Linked DNA regions of Rattus norvegicus. The protein of the gene in region 2 purifies or fractionates together with the protein of the main gene of each other region. This does not show direct contact. Links are inferred from orthologs where the notes say so. Each region holds a gene or a part of one and is shown on either strand. Other genes may lie near its edges.

Region 1 (4,192 bases), about 60 Mb from region 2:
AAAAACACATCTTACTTTCTTCAACTTAAACTTGTTTACTAAAAATGTAACTGGAAAATCCTGATTTTTTTTTTTTCCTCTGTGGTCAAGCCTCTAATCAAAAAGAAACGCCTTGCATGATACTAATCAGGGCTTTCCTGAACTATATAATACGGTGACACTTCTAAAACTGTCAAGTAGCAAGGCTTCTGTTGAAATTTAGGCAAGATTAGCAATCTGGAAGTCTGGCTTCAGAATCTCCAAAGTTAAAATCCAAACTACGAATCAAATGACTTCATTAAGGTAATGCCTTTCAAGGGGCTGCAGATATGGCTCTGTGATTAAGAGCCCTTTGCTACTCTTACAGAGGACCTGAGTTCAGTTCCCAGAATCTACTTCAGGTGGCATACAGTCACCTATAACTCTAGTCCAGGCGATCAGATATCTTCTTCTGGCCTCTGTGGGCACTGGCATCCACCTGGCAGGTAGTCACACAGACGTACACATGAACAGAAATTGACATTCACAAGCACCTGCTTGAATGAAGATTCTCCATAACTTGAAATAAACTTCCTGAATAGGCTCTACCATTTTACATAATAGGATGATAATAAGTTTGGTTTTTCTAAAACTAGTAAATCTTTAATACAATTAGGAACCATGAAAGCCAATGCAAAGTGCCCATCTGTTTTGGGTTAACAGACCCCCCAAAATAGAAGTATGGCTTTTCAGGAAGCTGCCTGTGAACTAAACACACACACACATACAGGCCTCACATTAAATACTAAACTTCCGCATACTTTTAAAGACTTTTTCCAGTGATGGCTCCAAGGCTGCCTCTTTCAGTTCTTGGCCAGTTTTCCCACGGTGAGTCCTAATTCTTGTCTTGGTAGCATATTCCTGACATAGACAAAAAGACATACCATCCAAAGCAACAACAGTATATTAGAAAGTTACCTAACATCTTAGATGTGGGAAAGGCGTGGGACCCCTCTTAAGGCATTTGTGATAAGGAGTGACTGGAAGGATGTAAACTGGCAAGGATAAAGCTCACTGAAAACTTTACTATTGCTTTAGTAAACCACTGTTACAGTAACTAATGAGTAAGTTACTCCCAACCAGTGTGAAGCCCACAGAACAGCCCACTAATCAACTACCACCATCACCACCAAATTCTAACAGACAACCTGGATGGGTGGGGGAAAGCATTCTTTACCCTGCTGGGTGTTAAGAGCCATTGGTTCTTTGTGATGGAATTCTTCACAAGTGGAGAGGCCTTGGTGATGAAAGTGGGCTGGAAAACCCTGGAAGGTAGTGTCCGGAGACACACAAGCCTTGCAGCCAACATGGTGGGTGATATACCGGTTTACTAAGCAGATCTGAAATGCTAGTTAGAAAGGTAGAAGGGAAAAAATTAAGTTAATTAAGAAGGAAACATAGCCAAAATCAGAAGAAACTAAATTGCAATAGAAAAAAATAATCAGAACAGTGGCTTCACTATTTTTAATGTTGTATCCTCCCCTGTTCCTTCTAACTCATGAAATCTAATTTGGAATGGGCAGCCAATGATATAAATCCAAGTTTGACCAGATATATGGAATAGAGATTTAATGTCATTATGTTGACACAATCACAGATTCTATAACCGCAGCTTTGCCCAAGATTTACACCATCACTCAGTGAATAAAAGAATTTATGTAACTTTTCAGCACAAGAAAAACACCCAGAGAAAAGATTAAGGTCACATTTTACAAGACTAAAATAAAATCGACAAAAGCCAGGCATGTATACGTCTACTAAATAGGTCAAATATTATTTCCCTTTAAGATACGACAGACACTTTCAAATTAATTTATTCCACTACATAACATTCGATCAAAACATTAAGAATTCTTCTTGTATTCTTAATAGGGTAACCCTTGCCCCCAACATTCTAAAATTGAATTGTCTCAGCTCCAGATAGTTAAGTGAACGTCTCTCTGTAATGCTATAAAGTCACATTTCTGGCCAATGAGTTGTGATGAATTTTAGGCAAGTGATTGGTATTTCCGCCTTCTCCCCATTTGTAAATACAAGAAAACTAGGCCAAAACAGCTTTTTGACGACAGTGCCTTGCTTGGGACTTTGAAATTGCCCAAGATTTACCCTAAAACTCCAGGAATGTAACGAAGTTTTAACTAGCACCTCCAAAGTTAAGAGCTTCCGGAACTATGAAGTGCACACAACTCTAGGCATCTGACCTTGCGGAAAAACCCGCGAGCCCTTCTGGTACTTTCATGCCATTACATCATCTCAACATATTGCTTCAGCTTACTAACCTGAACAGAGTCTAATCTGAGTGGCCTTATGTTGGGGAACAGCTAAGAGGGTTATCGGCCATGTGTTTATGTGCGGGTTCTGGTCCTCTGAAACGGGCCCCTGGGCTAGGTCTGTACGAATTACTGCCGACCCTTCCTAAAGCTTTCTTGAGCTCGAGTGTTCGGGTGTGCCCTTCCTCCCCTCTCACCGCTAGCCCGCAGCCTCCGCGTCCACGCACCACCCCACGGTACCCTCTCCCGGTCAGCTAGGGCGACCACGCGGGTCCTCGAGCGGCTGACTCAGCATCTCCCTGCCGAGGGAGATGTAGAGAGGGCGAGCCCGGCCTTCCCGCCCGGAGCAGCCAACCCAGATCCCGCTGTGCCGACGTCCATCACGAGAACTGGGATTCTCAGGACTCTCGGGGCAGTACCTCAGCTCCGGTCACCTCTGCCACGGGGCTCCCTTCCGGGCCACCGAAACCGAGAGTGTTCGACCTCCCTCTGCCGCTCCTCCGCAACCCCGCGACTCACTGCGTCACGCAATATCCGGACAAAAGGTAAATAGTACAAGCAGCCAATCAAGAGCAGGCTTCTAACGGAAGGGAGGGCACCGTGGCGAAGGCGGGTCTTGGCTTGGAGACCGGACCAATGGAAGTTTGGGTTCCGAAAAAACGTCACAGTCAGAGTCCATTCTAGGTCTGGGCAACGCAGCCCACTCTGGCGTTTTAGTTTTGGGCAGCTGCGTTGTGTGCACTCGCAGCCAATAGGTGTAAAAAATGGGAGGTGGACTGGTTGGCAGCGCACTCCTTAAATCCCAACCTTTGGGAGGCAGGTGGATCGCTGTGAGCTCAAAGCCAGCCTAGAATTACTTTTGTTATTGGATTTAGGTCTACCAATGACTTTTCACATTTAAGTTGGATTTTAGTTCTATTTAAGAGTCATTCCTAAAACGCGTTTTAGGCCGAGAGTAATTAGTTTGGGTTAATCGTATAGTCGCGGTGACTGGCAGGAAATTTATCAACCCTTAGAGGTATAATTTAGTCAAACGTTCGTTAATTGCTTCCTTTTTATCACTGCTGGGACTGTGGCTAGGCTGGGTGTCTTGAGCTATGGGGTATGTGCTTGGCACGCTCTCCTTTTGATTCATTATTCAAATGTTAAAAGATATGATACTGGTCTAGTGAGTTTTGCCTGTATTAATTTACTTTGAATTAATTATAAGGCCAGGACCAAACTGAAAGATCCCTGAAGGGACACCCTTACTCAAGTCTCGGGAAGTTGCGGACCCCAGACACACGAGAGACCAATCTTGATGCAATACGCAGAGGCGAGGTTTATTACAGAGGGCTCCGGGCCGACACGTATCCCTCGCAGGAGACAGCGGTGTCTACCCTGTGTGGCTGGGAGAAGGGCTATTTAAAGGAAGAAGTCACAAGCCCCAGGAGATAAGGGGATGTCAAAAGGAAATACCAAAAATGTCACGAGGGGAAACTCTCAAAGTCACAGGATTGTTCTTAAGACTCTAGGGTTTAAATCAGGGGAAAGGTCAAGCCCTCATTCTCCTGAGAACAGATCTTGATTCCTGTCCTTTAGGGTAAATGTTTGTCAGAGTTGACGAGGCATCTGCATCTGATACACATCTGGTTAGGCTTCGGCCCCGGTTTCCTGGAATATTATCTGCAGGACACAATGGCTGGAACATTATGTAGGGCACAATGGGGGCTTGAACAAACATCACTGGGGCAGAACAGAACCCGTTACTCCTTTACTCACGTCCAGTGACATCCGGAGGGTCAGTGAGTCTGCACCAGTCCTCCTGCATTTTTAACCACCTGTCTTCCTGAGTCAGATCCTGTTGCTGAGTTTTGAGCTAATTTAAAACTCTATCTCTCACAAACCTTTTGTATTTATGGAAT
Region 2 (4,314 bases):
CCATCTACTGTACTTCATTAGTTGTGACTGATTCTAGCACCATTAGTGAGATAATTCCCCCAACCCCAGTCTTACTGTATAGACAGACCAACCGTACAATCAATCCTCCTGCCTCACTCTCCAATGTGCTGGAATTATAAGCATTCACAACCACCCTGGTGTGAAACACAGTTTGTACATATTTCTTTATGTGTGTGTGTGTAAGAGACAGAGTCTCTGACAAAGGGTGATCCTTCCAAACCACAGATTTAATCCCACTCTCACACCCGCCTGCCTGGGGAATGCAGGCATTCAATATTCCCACTGTGCCCTGACAAACAAAACTCTTAGATGAGTCCTGAGTGGCTAGGGATGTAGAACATAGTCTATGCCAAGATGCACTGCCTTGGAGAACACGAAGGGGAAAGTAAACTTCTGGAGCCCAGTACTGGTTCACCTACTCTCCACACACTCACGCATGCATGCACACACACACACACACACACACACACACACACACACACACACACACACGCATGTACACATGAATGCACACATGCACTGTGCCGCACTCCAGCCCCCAAACATTCCTAGGTGCTCAAAGAAACCCTTTAGGAGATACGTAGGCCTTTCCCCTCTAGATTACACGTTCCTTGATGTTTGTCTTCTGTTGTTTGGTTCCCCACTGTCTGCAGTGCCTCTCGCGGCAGGGACTTGAGAAGAATGCACGGATTGGCAGGTCACGCTGCACTTTTCTGTGTTTATGGTCTCTGGCACGCACACTCCTGTTGTCCTTGGCTTTACTCATGGCCCCGGTGTCTCTTTTTTAGTCTATGGGGACCTGTCTGTCCCATCATGCTTCTCATCCACCCATTTCTTCTTGCACCCAGTGTCACCACACCAACACTATAGTTACATCTTCCCAGTGTCAAATCTCTTTCAACCTCTCCCTCATCTTACCTTGACCTTACCTGGGTGAATGCAAGCTTCCTGGACCCTAGAAATCATATAGTTTTAGGAAGGAAAGGATGGCGGGCTGGGCAGACTGCTCAGTGGGTAAAGTGTGAGGACCCCAGAACCCAAGAGAAGCCAGATGTACCCATAATCTCATGGATTGTAGAGACAGAATAGTCAGAAGCTGCCAGGCCAGCTAGCCAGATACATGGTGGGACATCACAAAGTGACACCGTTTCAAACAAGGCAGGAGGCCAGAGCAGCACCCATGCTGTACTCTGACCTCCACATGTGTGCCATGACACACCTGTGAAACACGCACATAGGAGCACACACTTTTGAATGTAAAACTGTCAGCCCCTTTCCGGGGTTTTGCAAGGGATGTGTGGCAGCACAGAGAAGCTGTCATATATACCTCCAGTCCCCTTCAGTTTGCGTGAGAATCTGCCAAAGGCCTATTCATTAAAGACTCGGTCTTGGCTGTTGGCACTACCAGACGGCAGCAGAACCTTGAGCAGGCAGAGTCTGTTACAAGGAAGCCTCGGAAGGTAACAGCGTGCCCTGGAAGGAGCTACTGGGACCTCAGCCTGTGTCTCTGTGCTTCCGGGGTGTCAGGAAGTAAGATGACCTCCCCACTCACGGTCTTCCCTCCTTCAGTTTCCCTTTCCACTGCTCTCTCCAGCCATGATGTGTATACTGAGCATGGGCCATAAGCAAAGGTCACAGAACGAATCCCATGATTGATCCCCAGTAAACCCTTCCCCTTTAAAAAGCTGACGATAACAAAAAAAGCCGGCACGCTCCAATGCTACCAGCATCATGGACAAAACGCTGCAGGAACCTAGAATTCATATTTTTAAATTTGCTTATTTTATACGCATGAGTGTTTGCTTGCACTCACATTGTCCAATATGTGTTGTGTGTGTGTGTGTGCCTGGTGCCCCGGGGGTCAGAATAAAGCGCTGGATTCCCTGGAACTGAAATTATGGACAGTGGTGAGCCATTAGGGAATCGAACCGAGGTCCTCTGCAACAAGGCACACAACACATGTGGCTCTTAACCACCAGCCATCCCTCCAGCCTCAGAATCCACATTATCAGCTCTATGCCGAACCCTCATTTCTTGGCAACTGGTGTGTGTTAACACACCTGTTTCTTGTGGACTGCCCAGAGCTTAGAGAATATGTGTAGCCGGCTGAGTAGGAACGTCTGGCACTGTTTAAACTCGACGGCTAGTTGATAACGGTGAAAAAGGACCAGCGGCTGTATGCTCACTGCTTAGGCTAGACAGGGAAAATTAAGTGAACTGCCAATGTGCAGATAGTTTATATGATTCGAGAAGGCGCTGGTGCCACCAATTCGGTTCAGACTAAATCTCACTTCCCGGTAACTATTTAAATATTCTGGATGTTATTTAGTTTGTGCAGGCGAAAGGGCGGAGGCATCAAATTTACTAAACGTCTAAAATTGGGTTTTAACAAAGAAGTGGGGAGAGAAGTGAGAGGGAGGGGGAGAGAAAGCGAGGGCATGGCGGGCAGTCTCCGCTCGCTCACACAGTTCAGTAGCAGCGCCCGGTGCACGGTAAGCACCCTGAGCGGGTGTGCACCGTACGCACCCGGAGAGGGGTTCTCGGTGAGCACCCGAGGGGAGTTGCACGATGAACACCCGGAGAAGGGGTGCACGGTAAGCACCCTAGGGGCCGCTGCCAGCACCAGTTTCCAAGTCTAGTCCCAGCTGAGCCCCATGAGAGCCCACTCTGGGGCTGGGCCGGGAAGATGGGGCCGGGGGTCGGGTTCGGAAAGGCCCCACAGAACCCTGGCCCACCTCACTACGCCCCGGAGCCTACCTGGAGACCACCAAATCCGGCTCGCATCCCAGAACGCCTGCGCGGCCGGAAGCGGTCGGAGGCGAGCGTTAGGCTGCCCTCTGGTGGCCGCCTCCCGCCTCACACTGGACGCCCGCGGCAGTGTACCCTCACCCAGCCAGCCCCTGGTTCTGGTTTCCTCTAGCCAAATTGGTAAACGCCAGGAAGCAGCAGCAGGGTTGAGCCTGGGGCTGAGGACCTCAGAGGGTTGTTTCCCCGATCTGCAGTTCTACACTCTCTGCAAAGCGGCGGCTGCCAAAGAGGGATCGTCAGAAAAGCAGCATGAGAAAATCGCAGACTGAGCCTCAGTGTACTGATGCCTCTGGATTTGATAACTACACGTAAAGGTGACTGTGGAGCTTCCACCTGAGACGCAAAGCTGCACTTCACAGACTTCAAGCGACGTGAAGGCTGGAAGGTCTTAATGTGTCACGAGAGGGGTAAGGGTGGGAAATGGAAAATCAGACATAACACCACCTAATTTGTTGTACTTAAAAAACTGATCTACTTTCCAGATTCGAAATCAAGACAGTACAGCGTGCAGGTTTAAAAAACCATCTGTGTTTATTATCCAAACGATGAGTGTTAACTCGAAGCATGCACCTTGATCAAGCACCAGAGGAGTGGGGCAAAAACAAAACAATTCTCAAAAAAAAAAAAAAAAAAAAACCAAAACAAAACCCTCTAAGCAACCTTTGCTTCTCGGACTGACAAATGCGTGCCTATGTGGTATGCCAGAGAACTCAAAGAAATGATAGAAAGACTCGCTGGAAATTGTGATCTACCTAATATCAATGCTATGAACTAAACTCAGGTAGTGTGGAGCCATTTCTCCAGCACCAAGGATATTTATTGTAGAAAATATACCTGGATATATAACAGCAAGAAATAAATTACATGAAATATATACACATATATGTACATATACACATATACATATGCATATATATATGCCATTAAGAACACTGTTCAATGAATAGTTTCCGTTTGAGAAGCTTTAAAACCTCTGGTGACGATGGAGGTAATGGCTGTAAAATAATGTGTATGAGATGCCATTGAAATACCCACTTAAAATGGCTAGGATAGGGGCTGGAGAGATGACGGCTTAGTAGGTGAGAGCATTGGTTGCTCTTCCAGGGGACCAGGGTTCCAGTCATCCACTTGGCAGCTAACCACTGCCTGCAACCCAGTTCTAGAGGATTAGACCTTCTGCCTCTGCCCTCTGAAGGCACTGCACACAGTGGTGCTCAGACATATAAGCACGCAAAGCACATCAAGTAAAATCCAAAACAACCTTTTACAAAATGAATAAAACCATGAGGGGTGTTATATACAGTTTGCTAGAATAAGAAGTGATGCTGTAGGGGCCTGAGAGGGCCAGCAGGTCAGGGTGCTTGCCGTCAAGTCTGACAATCTAAGTCCGAGATCCCTAGGACCCACATGGTAAGGTGAGTAAGGATGCTCACCGTGTCCTTTGCTCTCCAAATGCACATGCATGGACACACGCGCGTGCACACA
Region 3 (3,514 bases), on a different chromosome or scaffold from region 2:
ACAGCATGTCCCAAATCAGTACCCATAATTCTGAGTAGAATTTAGCATAAGTAGATTGACCATCACAAATTGTGGTAGAGTTGTAAAAGTTTGAGCATTCATAAATCCTTCAGCAGGTACTGGTTCCCCATGCTGTGTGCCAGGGATAGCCTGTGTAGTTCAGATGGAGAGAAGGTGGGATCAGGACTGCCAATGGGGGCTGGAACCACAGATCACTCTTTCAGCAGAAAAATATTTGTTCTCGTTAAGTATCGGTTTCCTCACCTGTAAAATGATGCTGATATTTCTCATGGTTGTAAAGAGAATGAACTGCTTGAGTGAATGAATCATCTAGCCTGGTGAAGGTGGAATCTGGTCCACGGGGGTACTGTTGTCAGAGTAAAGTGAGCATCAGAATTGTTATAAAGCCACACAAGTGGTCGCACAGAGGAGGAGACAGCCAGCTTCTTAGGAATGTAGATGGAGTAGATCAAAGCAGCTTCCTGGAAAAGTACTTGAGATCAAATGCTGATAAAGTATTTGTTCTACAGATCGGTAGAGATGCTATCCTATGTTTAGAGCCAGAAAGGTGTGAAACCAGTCACCTTTCTCGAACTGCTATGTTTAATGGACTTGCCACATTGGCTGTGCTTTAGGGGGTCACCAAGAGAGAGCAGTAGTGTAAGATCATTAAGGTGAGATCACAGGGTACTGTTTGCTTTTCTACTAGTGAGCAGAGGTGGTACACAGTTCATATGCAGGATCACTGACATTGAAAGAAAAGACGAGGGTGGGAACCTGAGAGCAAATGCTATGAAATGTGTTTCAGGTGCTAAGACTGTAGGCAGAAACATCTACTAGGCTGCTGATTTTCCAAATTCTTTGGACTCCATCAAGAGCAGTGCAGTGATGAGATGCATGTGTAGACAAACGGGTGTCACACAGCAGCATTTATGCATACAAGGTGCTAGGCTACATCTTGATGGTTTCTCTTTCCTTTGGTTTAAATGCCTGTTGCAACCCTCTAAGTTTTCCACCATCTGCTGATGAGGCTTTTGTGGTTCTGACAAAAGATGATCTAAATCAAGAGGATCGAGCAGCGTGGCTGGGAAAGGAAGGCGGGGCTTCAGTTACTTCAGAGACACAGGGATTGGTCGCCACTTAGATACAGTTGGCATTAAGTTGACCCATGTGTACCTCTCAGAGTGACTGGAGTCGTACCCAAGATACACAGCAGAAACTAAGCGCTGAAGCACCACCTGGGGCCCTGGTGTGGGTGCAGTGCTCTGCTAATCAGTGCAGGCTGCTGTCTGTGAAATATAAATGGCTGTCCCGGGCGTGCACTCTACAGCTTGCCCTGGCCTTGAGCTGGTTTATCTGTTTCACATCTGGAGAGGTGGTGATAGTGGTGAGTTTGGTTTGTTACGTTAAGGGTAACTATAGACTGTTTTTCACAACTGTTAGGAACTTGATCAAATGTGTCTACGGCTCAGGAAGGTGTTTGTACTCTCTAGACTATGAATGGTAATTGAACTTAGAGTGATGGACAAAGTCTCCAGAGAGCAATGGAGGAAACAGTACATTGTAATAACTCAGGGAAGCATACACAATGAATTGGGAGCAGGAGTAATCAGAACTAGTAAATAGGCATGGTTGTCCATGTTTGCGACCCCAGCAGTAGGGATGCATGAGATCACAATTTGAGGTGCAGCTTCAGCTGCATAGCTGATCGAAGCCAGCCTGGACGAGGCGAGACCCTGTTTCAACAAAGAAACAGAAAAAGTAGGAGAACGGCGTCTTCCACAGTGAGCAGATACCATCTAAAAGAAAACATTGCCTACTCTATTGAGCATGTAGAGAGGTCTTTGAGTTGAAGAATCTCTCAAATATGGCAAATAGGAGAGCCATTTCCCTGCAGTGGCGAGGGAGGAAGCCTAACAGCAGTGTGACCCAGAGACCAGCAATGTGGGGCAGAACGTCAAGAGAAGGATGCGTTCTTGAATCCTGGCATTGGGGAGGCATAGCAAGGCACCAGGAGAGAGTACAAAAGTGATGACAGCTGGTGGGGACCACAGAGAGAGTGTGTGCCCAGAGGACACACTGAATTGGGAGCTGATGGCCACAGCCAGAGACTGCTCCCTGCCATTGTCACTCCTGTTTCTATTAGGGATGAGTGTAGCTACATGACAGGAAATTGGGGTATCAGCAAGCAGGAAGTATTTAAGGGGTCTTCAATTATGAGATTATCCATGGATTAACTAGCCAGAGTGGAAGAATTTTTTCTTCTTAATAACTATGGGTGCTAAACTTGATAACCCACTTCTTACTCTTTCCAAATTCATGCCTTCTGCTTCTTAAACACTCAATTAGTCAGAAATCCAGGAAGGTGGGTGTGCTGGGATCCACCTCGAATCCTTTAGTAGTCAAGGACCTGTGTTTATCTTGCTCTCATGCAGCCAGGGAGCCTGAGGACAGTAGTGGTTGGATCCAAGTGCCTTCACTCATCTGTAGCTTACAGATTTCCTTCACTAAACCTAAGTGGCACTATTCAAATCTAAGCTCTAGTTCCGGGCTGTTCTTGGCTTTTTCACCTTTCCACTGAAAGCATTTAGTGATGTCTGTCTAGATCTGACCCTTCTGGCCAAAAGTTTACAATGACACTTCCTGGCCTGTTGTCGTATCTTCATTTAACAGTAGCTTCTTTAAGTTTATTTAAATTAAATAATGTCATTTAATTCATATCTTTATGTTGCATGATATGTATGTGTATATGTGTTTATATATAAACTGTGTATTTGATTTATTAACATTTTTACTTTTGCATTCTTGTATTGCTATTTTGAATATGCAGTTGTTTTTCTATTAGATAACTACAGTGTTCTCCATTTTAGATCCAACTGAGGAGCCAGCACCACAGGCCACCAACACAGTTGGTTCCGTTATCGGAGTAATTGTCACCATTTTTGTGTCTGGAACCATATACTTTATCTGCCAAAGGATGCTGTGTCCTCGTATGAAGGGGGATGGGGAAACCATGACTAATGACTACGTGGTTCACGGCCCAGCTTCTGTGCCCCTTGGTTATGTTCCTCACCCAAGCTCTCTGTCTGGATCTCTTCCAGGTAAGCGAAGACAGGTTTATGAGAATCTGGTCTTGTCTAGTTTTAAGTTCTAGGATTACAGACTAGATTACTCTGGGTTTAAGGAATTGTGAGAATTTTTTTTACACTTTTATACTGACTTTCTATGCAGAAAGACTTAAGTATCATTCCGTTTGCCCGCTCCAGGCCTCTGACTGTACCACTGAAAATGTCAGCCAGTGCTTTGGTGAATTCCTTCACCACTGGGGGAGCCTGAGGCTATTGAGTGTAGGAATAAAGGCGTTAAAAGACAGAGCAGTTTGCTGTTCACAAAGAAGAGTTTGGAAATAGCTGGTTGACAGGGAGAGAGTGTACCCTCCTCTGTCCTCTCCAGATCTAACGTGCTGACACTGGTGTGAGCACACTGGTGTGAGCACACTGGTGTGAGCGTGGTT
Region 4 (3,514 bases), on a different chromosome or scaffold from region 2:
TAACTCATGCTATGTGTCAATCCTCCCATAAATACTTTTAGCCTGTGTTCAATTATAGTCAATTCTGAATTGGCCCATCTCTGGATTAGACTTTCTAAAGTCTACACAGAGTAAAAGAAATAGACACTAATGGAAAGTCTGTAATCTATCCTGTAGTTGGACCCTAGAAAGATGTGGGCTTGCTAAAAAAGAAACATGTAATCACAGTAAAGCCAACACTATGCAGAGCTTATAATTTTCAGCAACGGACTGCAAGCTGCACTGTGAAGAAAATGCATAGCAGAGAAAGCTAGGGACTGAGGAGATGCATGAGGAAAACAGTGTCAACACAGTGGAACAAGTGATGTAATTATCTACTCAGGCACACCAGCCTTCCTTAAAAAGCCTTGTGCTCCAGAGGATCTGAGCTGTCAGACCTCCTATATGGGAAGTACAGTATAAACTGCTGCATTAAGCCAGCTCCTTTCCTCTGCAAAGCTGTTTGTGAATGGAGCAGTTCCAACAACAGAACACTGCACTTTATGATCTGACCAACACCAAGTGAAAGTCTCCTTTTAGTTCTTTTTGGGTCTATTCAATACAATGTAAATTTGATATAAATTGAGCTTCCATCTAATCTCTGTGTCCTTAAGAGGAATTAAGTAATGGAAGCACACAAAACAAGATTATAACCACAAATGACTGCACTTGAACGTGATTACAATTTTTGGGACAGACACATGAATGTTTTAATACCAAACTTAAAAAAATTGTTATAAAAACTGCAATTCATTCTCCCTAGCATTCCTAATGTTGGTGTTATTTCTGCATGAACAAATTAATATATTAAATTAAGCCAAGATTTTAAATTGGCAAAAATTCTATCATTGTATCTTTAAAAAAAGGAAAAAAAGACAAACCTGGAAGATTTTAAAAACAACAAAACACTAGTTAGTTGCTTCATGTTACATTTCACAACCATTATGTTAAATGTTTTCTTTTCTACAGAAACAGGGTCCTTTACATTACAACTGCAATAGTTTACTGCTAGATGTTTAAAATTACAGGCTAGTATTCACTGGAACCTGTTGATGGTGACATCTTGAGGTTTTCTGAGCTCCCACCTAAGGTACACCAGGCCCTCTCCTAGGACCATATTTGCAGGGGAAGGGGAGGGAGAGGAAATCACAGATCAAGTTCTTAAGATTGTTTCACTCTCTTCGTGGCTTTCTGTTTCTTGGTGATCTGTTCAAAATTTCATCCTCCTATAAGTTGAAAGAGTTCATATAATTAGCATATTTAAACACAAATGCTGTCAAACTTGCACAAGCATTTAAACTAAGTCACTCAATTGGTGAAAAGCTATAATGTGACAGGTACTAGAATTATAGGTATTCAATTTTAGTCTTTATTTTCAGAAAACATGTACTTTCCTTAAACCTAACTTGGTAGAGGATTTTTTACTTTATCCGATGTGTCTGCCTGAATCTGTATCTCTGTACCCTGTGCATGCCTGAAGAGGGCATCCGATCCCCCGGGACTGGAATGACAGGCAGTTGTGAGCCACCATATGTGTATTAAGAATTAAATCCAGGTACCCTTGAGAGCACCCACAGCAACACATAAAATAGAGTAGAGCACATACTGGGTATGACGGCAGGAAGACTAGAAGCTCAGTATTACCCTTGACTACACAGAACGAACAGTGTGGACTACATGAAAGCTTGTCTCGAAAAGTTTTAAGCATATCACATGGTGGTGGCACACACCTTTAATCTTAGCTTTTGGAAGGCAAAGGCATGCAGACCTCTGAGTTCCAAGCCACTGTAGTGGTATTCAAGAAATACCTTTGAGGACATACACCACAGGACTGTTAAGAAACTTGGTACTCCTATTTATTTAAAAAAAGGATTGGAGGACCCACCTTGCCCACACAGAAAAAAATTTCCAGTCATTGTAAACTAATGTATAAAGCACTGCCTTTGGGTTGCAGAGATGGCTCTTTGAGAGGATCCATGGCACCTGTAACTTCAGTGCCTTGGGGATGCATCAGTTCTGGCAATTGAAGCACTTGCACTCACACGTACATACCATAACCACACTGCACATAAACTTACTTAAAAAAATCTTTACTAAATATGTTTTCAGCTTAGGTGGCTGGAAGCATTTATTATCCTGCCTTACCTCTGCTTTAGGCTTGCTATCTTCCTCATCTTGACTGCCAGTGCCACCATCTTCTTCAGCATCACTCTTCTGTTTCTCTTCTAGGACAGAAAATGAAACTACTAAACAGAACTTCACTTAAAGTTCTGACAATAATTATAGCATAATTTAAGAACAACCCACTGTAGCTTATTTTGTTAATCAGGGTCTAGAATAGATTTCTAGACTCTACTCACCAAGCTTCTCCTCTTCTTCCTCTTCATCTCCCTTGTTCTTCTCTTCTTCCTTCCCTTCTTCGTCCTTCACATCTGGCTGGGGAGCATCTGTCTTCTTGTACTCCATAGCATTGGACTGTTTCTGAAATATAGTCAAGTATAAGAACCATGTTTATGTTATAACAAAAATATTACCCCTCAATTCCTGAATGTCTACAAGGCAAAATTATATACAAGGTTGTGTACAAGGCAGTTATACAGACACATGAAAGACATTGTTTTTACTCTACAGGTTTGCCCCATGGGAGGGACTGAGAGGGAAGTTAAGGAAGAGAGGTATCATGAAAAACAAAACAGATTCAGTAAGGAAGCACAGGCTAAGCTTGTCAAGCTGACTCAGATACATATACTCCAACAGTGAATGATGAGGGTAAGGCTAGAAAGAAACCTTTGAATCTGACAAAGTATAAATAATTTTTTTTTCCTTTTCATTTTTTCGGAGCTGGGGACTGGACCCAGGGCCTTAAATCCCCAACCCCAAAGTATAAATAATTTAAATAGAGTCAAAATCCTAAGTTAGTAGGAGACAGCAAGAAACAAGGTCTGAATAAGAAAAACACTGAGGCTGTAAAACCTGAAAGCACAGTTTTAAGATGTATTGTTTGAGAGAGTGAAGGCAGGGAAAGAGCCATAGATAAATAAGAATAGAAATAATGAGGAAGACTATTTTGTGCCCAGATGGCTGATCTTATATCCATATTGTTCTTTTTCCCCTAGATAGGATCACTCCATATAAAGGACAAGAACAGAGTGGAATGACAAACAAGGAACTCTAAATCCTGTCATCATCTGGGTACAAGGAACCCCTGCAAAACATGGACCAGTATTTACGAACTACTAAAGAAAATCTCGGGTTGGGGATTTAGCTCAGTGGTAGAGCGCTTGCCTAGGAAGCGCAAGGCCCTGGGTTCGGTCCCCAGCTCCAAAAAAAAGAACCAAAAAAAAAAAAAAAAAAGAAAATCTCAGGCTGGAGAGATGGCTCAGAGGTTAAGAGCACTGTCTGCTCTTCCAAAGGTCCTGAGTTCAATTCCCAGCAACCACATGGTGGCTCACAACCATCCATCCATATTGAGTTCCGATGCCTTCTTTTGGCCTGC
Region 5 (3,514 bases), on a different chromosome or scaffold from region 2:
TGATTTAAAATTCGTATCTAGCATGGAAATAAAAAAGAGAATAGGAAACTCACACTTTTAAGGTAGTATCACGATTAGGCTTATTGGGAAAAAACCCACTACTTTGTTAGTTCACATTGGAAGCTTTGAAATGGAGTTTAGAACAGTGCATGGTCCCCATGCTAGCAGCATTACCAGGATGTGGAACTCATTAGAAGTGCAAACCCCCAGGTAGATGGAACCAGAACTGGAAGTCAGAGTGGGCAATTACAACAGATCTGACAGCTAAGGTTTAACCATCTACTTCAAATAAAACTTACAGGACATTTTGCTTAACGATGACTGTCTTAAGTCTGCAGGCTCCTGCTCCAACTGCGGTGCATACTGAATTTCCGGCTTAGACTAAAATGGTGAGGAAAGCATTATGTCATTCATACCTCAGACGCTGTTCTTAGTAACAAGTTCTAGAACACACTATCCATACTATCAAACTTCAAATTGAAAAACAGTAACAGATAAAACACATCAACCACAAAACTTCAATATTATTTAGCTGGTAAAAATGAATTCCGATTTTAGTTGATCAGAAATAACTCAGCAGCCTGCTTAAATTTTTAACCAAATATATATTATATATTATCCTGGATATAGTATATTTTAACCAAATACATATTGTACATACGAACTCTTTTCTCATCTGGAACATTCTGTTCCTTCCTAACGCTAAGCTTCTGACACACTACAGGCATGCATTCTACACCTCATATCTCTGAGCCTCTGGAAAGGGACTTTCTTCATCCAAGTTACACTCAAGCTGACATAGACTTGAGAGAAAGAGAATCCCTCATCCACTGAGGATGCTTTTGTGTATGTAGCTTTAGGACACAGAACTTATCCATAAATATAAGAAGACACTGTGTTTTATTGCCATCAAATTAAGTGCAGAGGACCCAAACGTAGGATAATGCTAGGAATCACAAAGTAGTCATATGGTAAACCACTATAATAATGCTTAAAGCCGTGGCTTACTACGTGAGAGCTAGATAGTGTCACAACGCAACCTGCTGACTGATATAGATGAGGAACTTACTGAATTGAAGAAAATAGGATGTCAGGATGCACTATGGGTGTGGAGCCTAAAAATGCCCTGAGTTTGAGCTGAATATCACATTACTAGTAACCAACAGCACGACTCTAGGAAAGCTGGGTGCTTAGCTTCCTCACCAAGAAGCAGGGGTGATACAACCTCACAACACTGTTTAGAGCTTCAGAAACCAGTCAGTTCTCTACACCCATGCGTTCTATGTCACTGCACTTCATGTCTGTAACTGAACCACTCCTGGGGGGATCTGTACTGAGTGTGCACAGGCATCTCCATTATCATTAAACTACATCATAACAATTATTTGTGCAGATTTCACAAGCAACTCAGGGGTGATTTAAAGCGCAGTCACGCACTGTGACAGCAACACTATAATGACATCCCCACCTAGTAATACTGTAGCATCTCAGTTCAAGAATACTATATTATTAAATGACCCATAACTACCTACACAGGGGGGAGTTTGTAGGTTATATGTAAATGCAATGTCACTTCATATTATGAGATTTAGCATCCCCAAATAGTAGCATCCTCAGGATCCTGGATAACTTCTCATAGGCACTCTAAGACTATATAGAACTTGTTAACATCTTATCACACAGTCAATTTCTAGACAAGAGGAAAATTACCTCCCTGGAGGGCAAATGCATCTGTACCACGTTCTTACAGGCAGCTAGAGGAAAACACATAAACTTCCTATTGTATCATTAACACTTTTCTAGTGTCTGTGTTATATGCCACTATTTATGTTCAAGGTATATGGTATTACCTTCCTATCTAAATTTCTCATTTTCCAAGTTAGTCAAACCAAGAAGACCAAATAACCACTAAGCTTGAGGTAAGGCCTCAAGGCAAGAAGGAAAGGTGACTACACTGTGTCCTGCTGCTCAGGGTCTCCACAAGGCCAGTTAAGCAGCAGCATTTGACAAAAGCATTAGGTGACTGACTACATGGTTCTATGCCAAGGCCCTTATGTAAGACACGGACAGCGCCCATTGTTGTACTTCGGTCAATGTGTGCGACACAGGTGTCACCTGGAATATGACTATTTTTCCATCATCAGCTTGAAGATAAAAAGTCCATGAAGAGGTTATGAAGCTCTGTGCAGAGTCCATCATGTCGCTCCAGAAGGACCTCACCAGAGTCAGAGGGAAGAGGAGGTGCATCCTTGGCATCAGGGACATGAGCTAAACAAACAAGGAAAGCGTTTAAGGAAAAAGAATTATTTTATTTATGATGTGTGTACTCAAGAGAACAAACCTTGCCGGGAGAGGGTATAGATAATTTCACGAACAGTCACAACCACCAGCATCAGACTCCACCCTGCTGCTGATGCAGATCAACTCTGGTAAAGCTAACATGGCAGGCTACCCAAACTCAAACACTCATACACAACCCACGACTTCTATCAGGCTAACAGGCTTTGAGCCAAGCCCCCAACATGGAAACTCTTAAGATCTCATTAAAAGAAATTTGAATGGGAAAGGAGAAATCAAATCATTCTTACCCTTAACATTCCCAGGAGGGAAAATCATGTCTTAATGACCATCAAAGGCAAAAATGTACACAGAAAACATGAGGCTTGGTTGCACTGAAAGCTGACTGGTATTCTGTGGTATTAATTTAAGTGATGGGTGCTGCTGACAAGATTTTAACACCAGCTGACGCAACCTCGCTCAACCCAATTCTGACTTCTTAACTTACTAAGTGGCTCTGACCCTGGGGCACAGACTTGGGGTGCAGACTACTGAGCTCTAGGGATAGTGTTGGCTCATGTGACATCAGGAGACACACCACAAGAGCCACTGCAAAGCAAAGGACAGCTTTAGAGTAGGACAATCTGTACTCAGGGTCCAGTTTCCCCATGTAGTAGCTATGAGACCTATCACAAGTCCACTCAAAAGTATTTAGTGAGGCTACAAATTTGAAGAGATCAGAGACCAGGTGTTTCTGTTTTCATTTTTTTGAGATAAGGTATTGCTATGTGGCCCAGGCTAGCCTCCCCCTTGCAATCCTCCAGGCTTAGTTAGCATCCTGAAAGCTGAGGTTGCAAGCATGTCTACTTACATATCTATTTCAATCGTCAATGTGCACCTGTGTTTAGTCAGAATACTTTAATTAGGAAAGGGATTAGCACAGGGCAGCGTGCATATGAAAGGAGGGAAACCTACTGCAAACCAGGGGAAAGCAATTGCTAATGGGTGTGAGATTTATTCTGGGGTGATGGAAATCTCTGGAATTAGATAGTGATGATGGTTGTGCAACTGCAATTTATTCTAAAAGTCACTGAAGTTAGAAGCGTGGATTTCTTTTTTTTTTTTTAAAGAATTATTTATTTATTTCAGGTATAGGATACATTGTAGTTGTCTTCAGACACACCAGAAGAGGGGCATCCAATCCCATTACAGATGGTTGTGAGCCACCATGTAGTCA

The links.
Region 1: the proteins of Pomk (region 2) and Ghitm purify together in Homo sapiens (affinity purification with mass spectrometry; 3 studies listed by BioGRID and IntAct, counting the BioPlex papers as one, with this or other methods). This does not show direct contact. The link is inferred for Rattus norvegicus from reciprocal best matches to the Homo sapiens genes POMK and GHITM.
Region 3: the proteins of Pomk (region 2) and Lrp6 purify together in Homo sapiens (affinity purification with mass spectrometry; 3 studies listed by BioGRID and IntAct, counting the BioPlex papers as one, with this or other methods). This does not show direct contact. The link is inferred for Rattus norvegicus from reciprocal best matches to the Homo sapiens genes POMK and LRP6.
Region 4: the proteins of Pomk (region 2) and Canx purify together in Homo sapiens (affinity purification with mass spectrometry; 3 studies listed by BioGRID and IntAct, counting the BioPlex papers as one, with this or other methods). This does not show direct contact. The link is inferred for Rattus norvegicus from reciprocal best matches to the Homo sapiens genes POMK and CANX.
Region 5: the proteins of Pomk (region 2) and Tmem59 purify together in Homo sapiens (affinity purification with mass spectrometry; 3 studies listed by BioGRID and IntAct, with this or other methods). This does not show direct contact. The link is inferred for Rattus norvegicus from reciprocal best matches to the Homo sapiens genes POMK and TMEM59.

Annotation. Positions count from the first base shown.
Region 1 is NC_086034.1:12,915,345-12,919,536, forward strand, and holds the start of Ghitm (growth hormone-inducible transmembrane protein), read right to left. Parts: upstream 2,802-4,192; 5' UTR 2,708-2,801; exon of another isoform or gene 2,486-2,707; intron 1,367-2,485; 5' UTR 1,328-1,366; coding exon 1,196-1,327; intron 880-1,195; coding exon 780-879; intron 1-779. UniProt on the Homo sapiens protein: Plays an important role in maintenance of mitochondrial morphology and in mediating either calcium or potassium/proton antiport. Mediates proton-dependent calcium efflux from mitochondrion.
Region 2 is NC_086034.1:72,789,238-72,793,551, reverse strand, and holds the start of Pomk (protein O-mannose kinase), read right to left. Parts: upstream 2,804-4,314; 5' UTR 2,779-2,803; intron 2,216-2,778; exon of another isoform or gene 2,082-2,215; intron 1-2,081. UniProt on the Homo sapiens protein: Protein O-mannose kinase that specifically mediates phosphorylation at the 6-position of an O-mannose of the trisaccharide (N-acetylgalactosamine (GalNAc)-beta-1,3-N-acetylglucosamine (GlcNAc)-beta-1,4-mannose) to generate phosphorylated O-mannosyl trisaccharide (N-acetylgalactosamine-beta-1,3-N-acetylglucosamine-beta-1,4-(phosphate-6-)mannose).
Region 3 is NC_086022.1:169,006,217-169,009,730, reverse strand, and holds part of Lrp6 (low-density lipoprotein receptor-related protein 6 isoform 2 precursor), read left to right. Parts: intron 1-2,870; coding exon 2,871-3,101; intron 3,102-3,514. UniProt on the Homo sapiens protein: Component of the Wnt-Fzd-LRP5-LRP6 complex that triggers beta-catenin signaling through inducing aggregation of receptor-ligand complexes into ribosome-sized signalosomes.
Region 4 is NC_086028.1:35,126,858-35,130,371, forward strand, and holds part of Canx (calnexin precursor), read right to left. Parts: exon of another isoform or gene 3,384-3,514; intron 3,378-3,383; exon of another isoform or gene 3,135-3,377; intron 2,500-3,134; coding exon 2,379-2,499; intron 2,244-2,378; coding exon 2,164-2,243; intron 1,245-2,163; coding exon 1,191-1,244; 3' UTR 1-1,190. UniProt on the Homo sapiens protein: Calcium-binding protein that interacts with newly synthesized monoglucosylated glycoproteins in the endoplasmic reticulum. It may act in assisting protein assembly and/or in the retention within the ER of unassembled protein subunits.
Region 5 is NC_086023.1:127,201,307-127,204,820, reverse strand, and holds part of Tmem59 (transmembrane protein 59 precursor), read right to left. Parts: intron 2,269-3,514; coding exon 2,116-2,268; intron 382-2,115; coding exon 300-381; intron 1-299.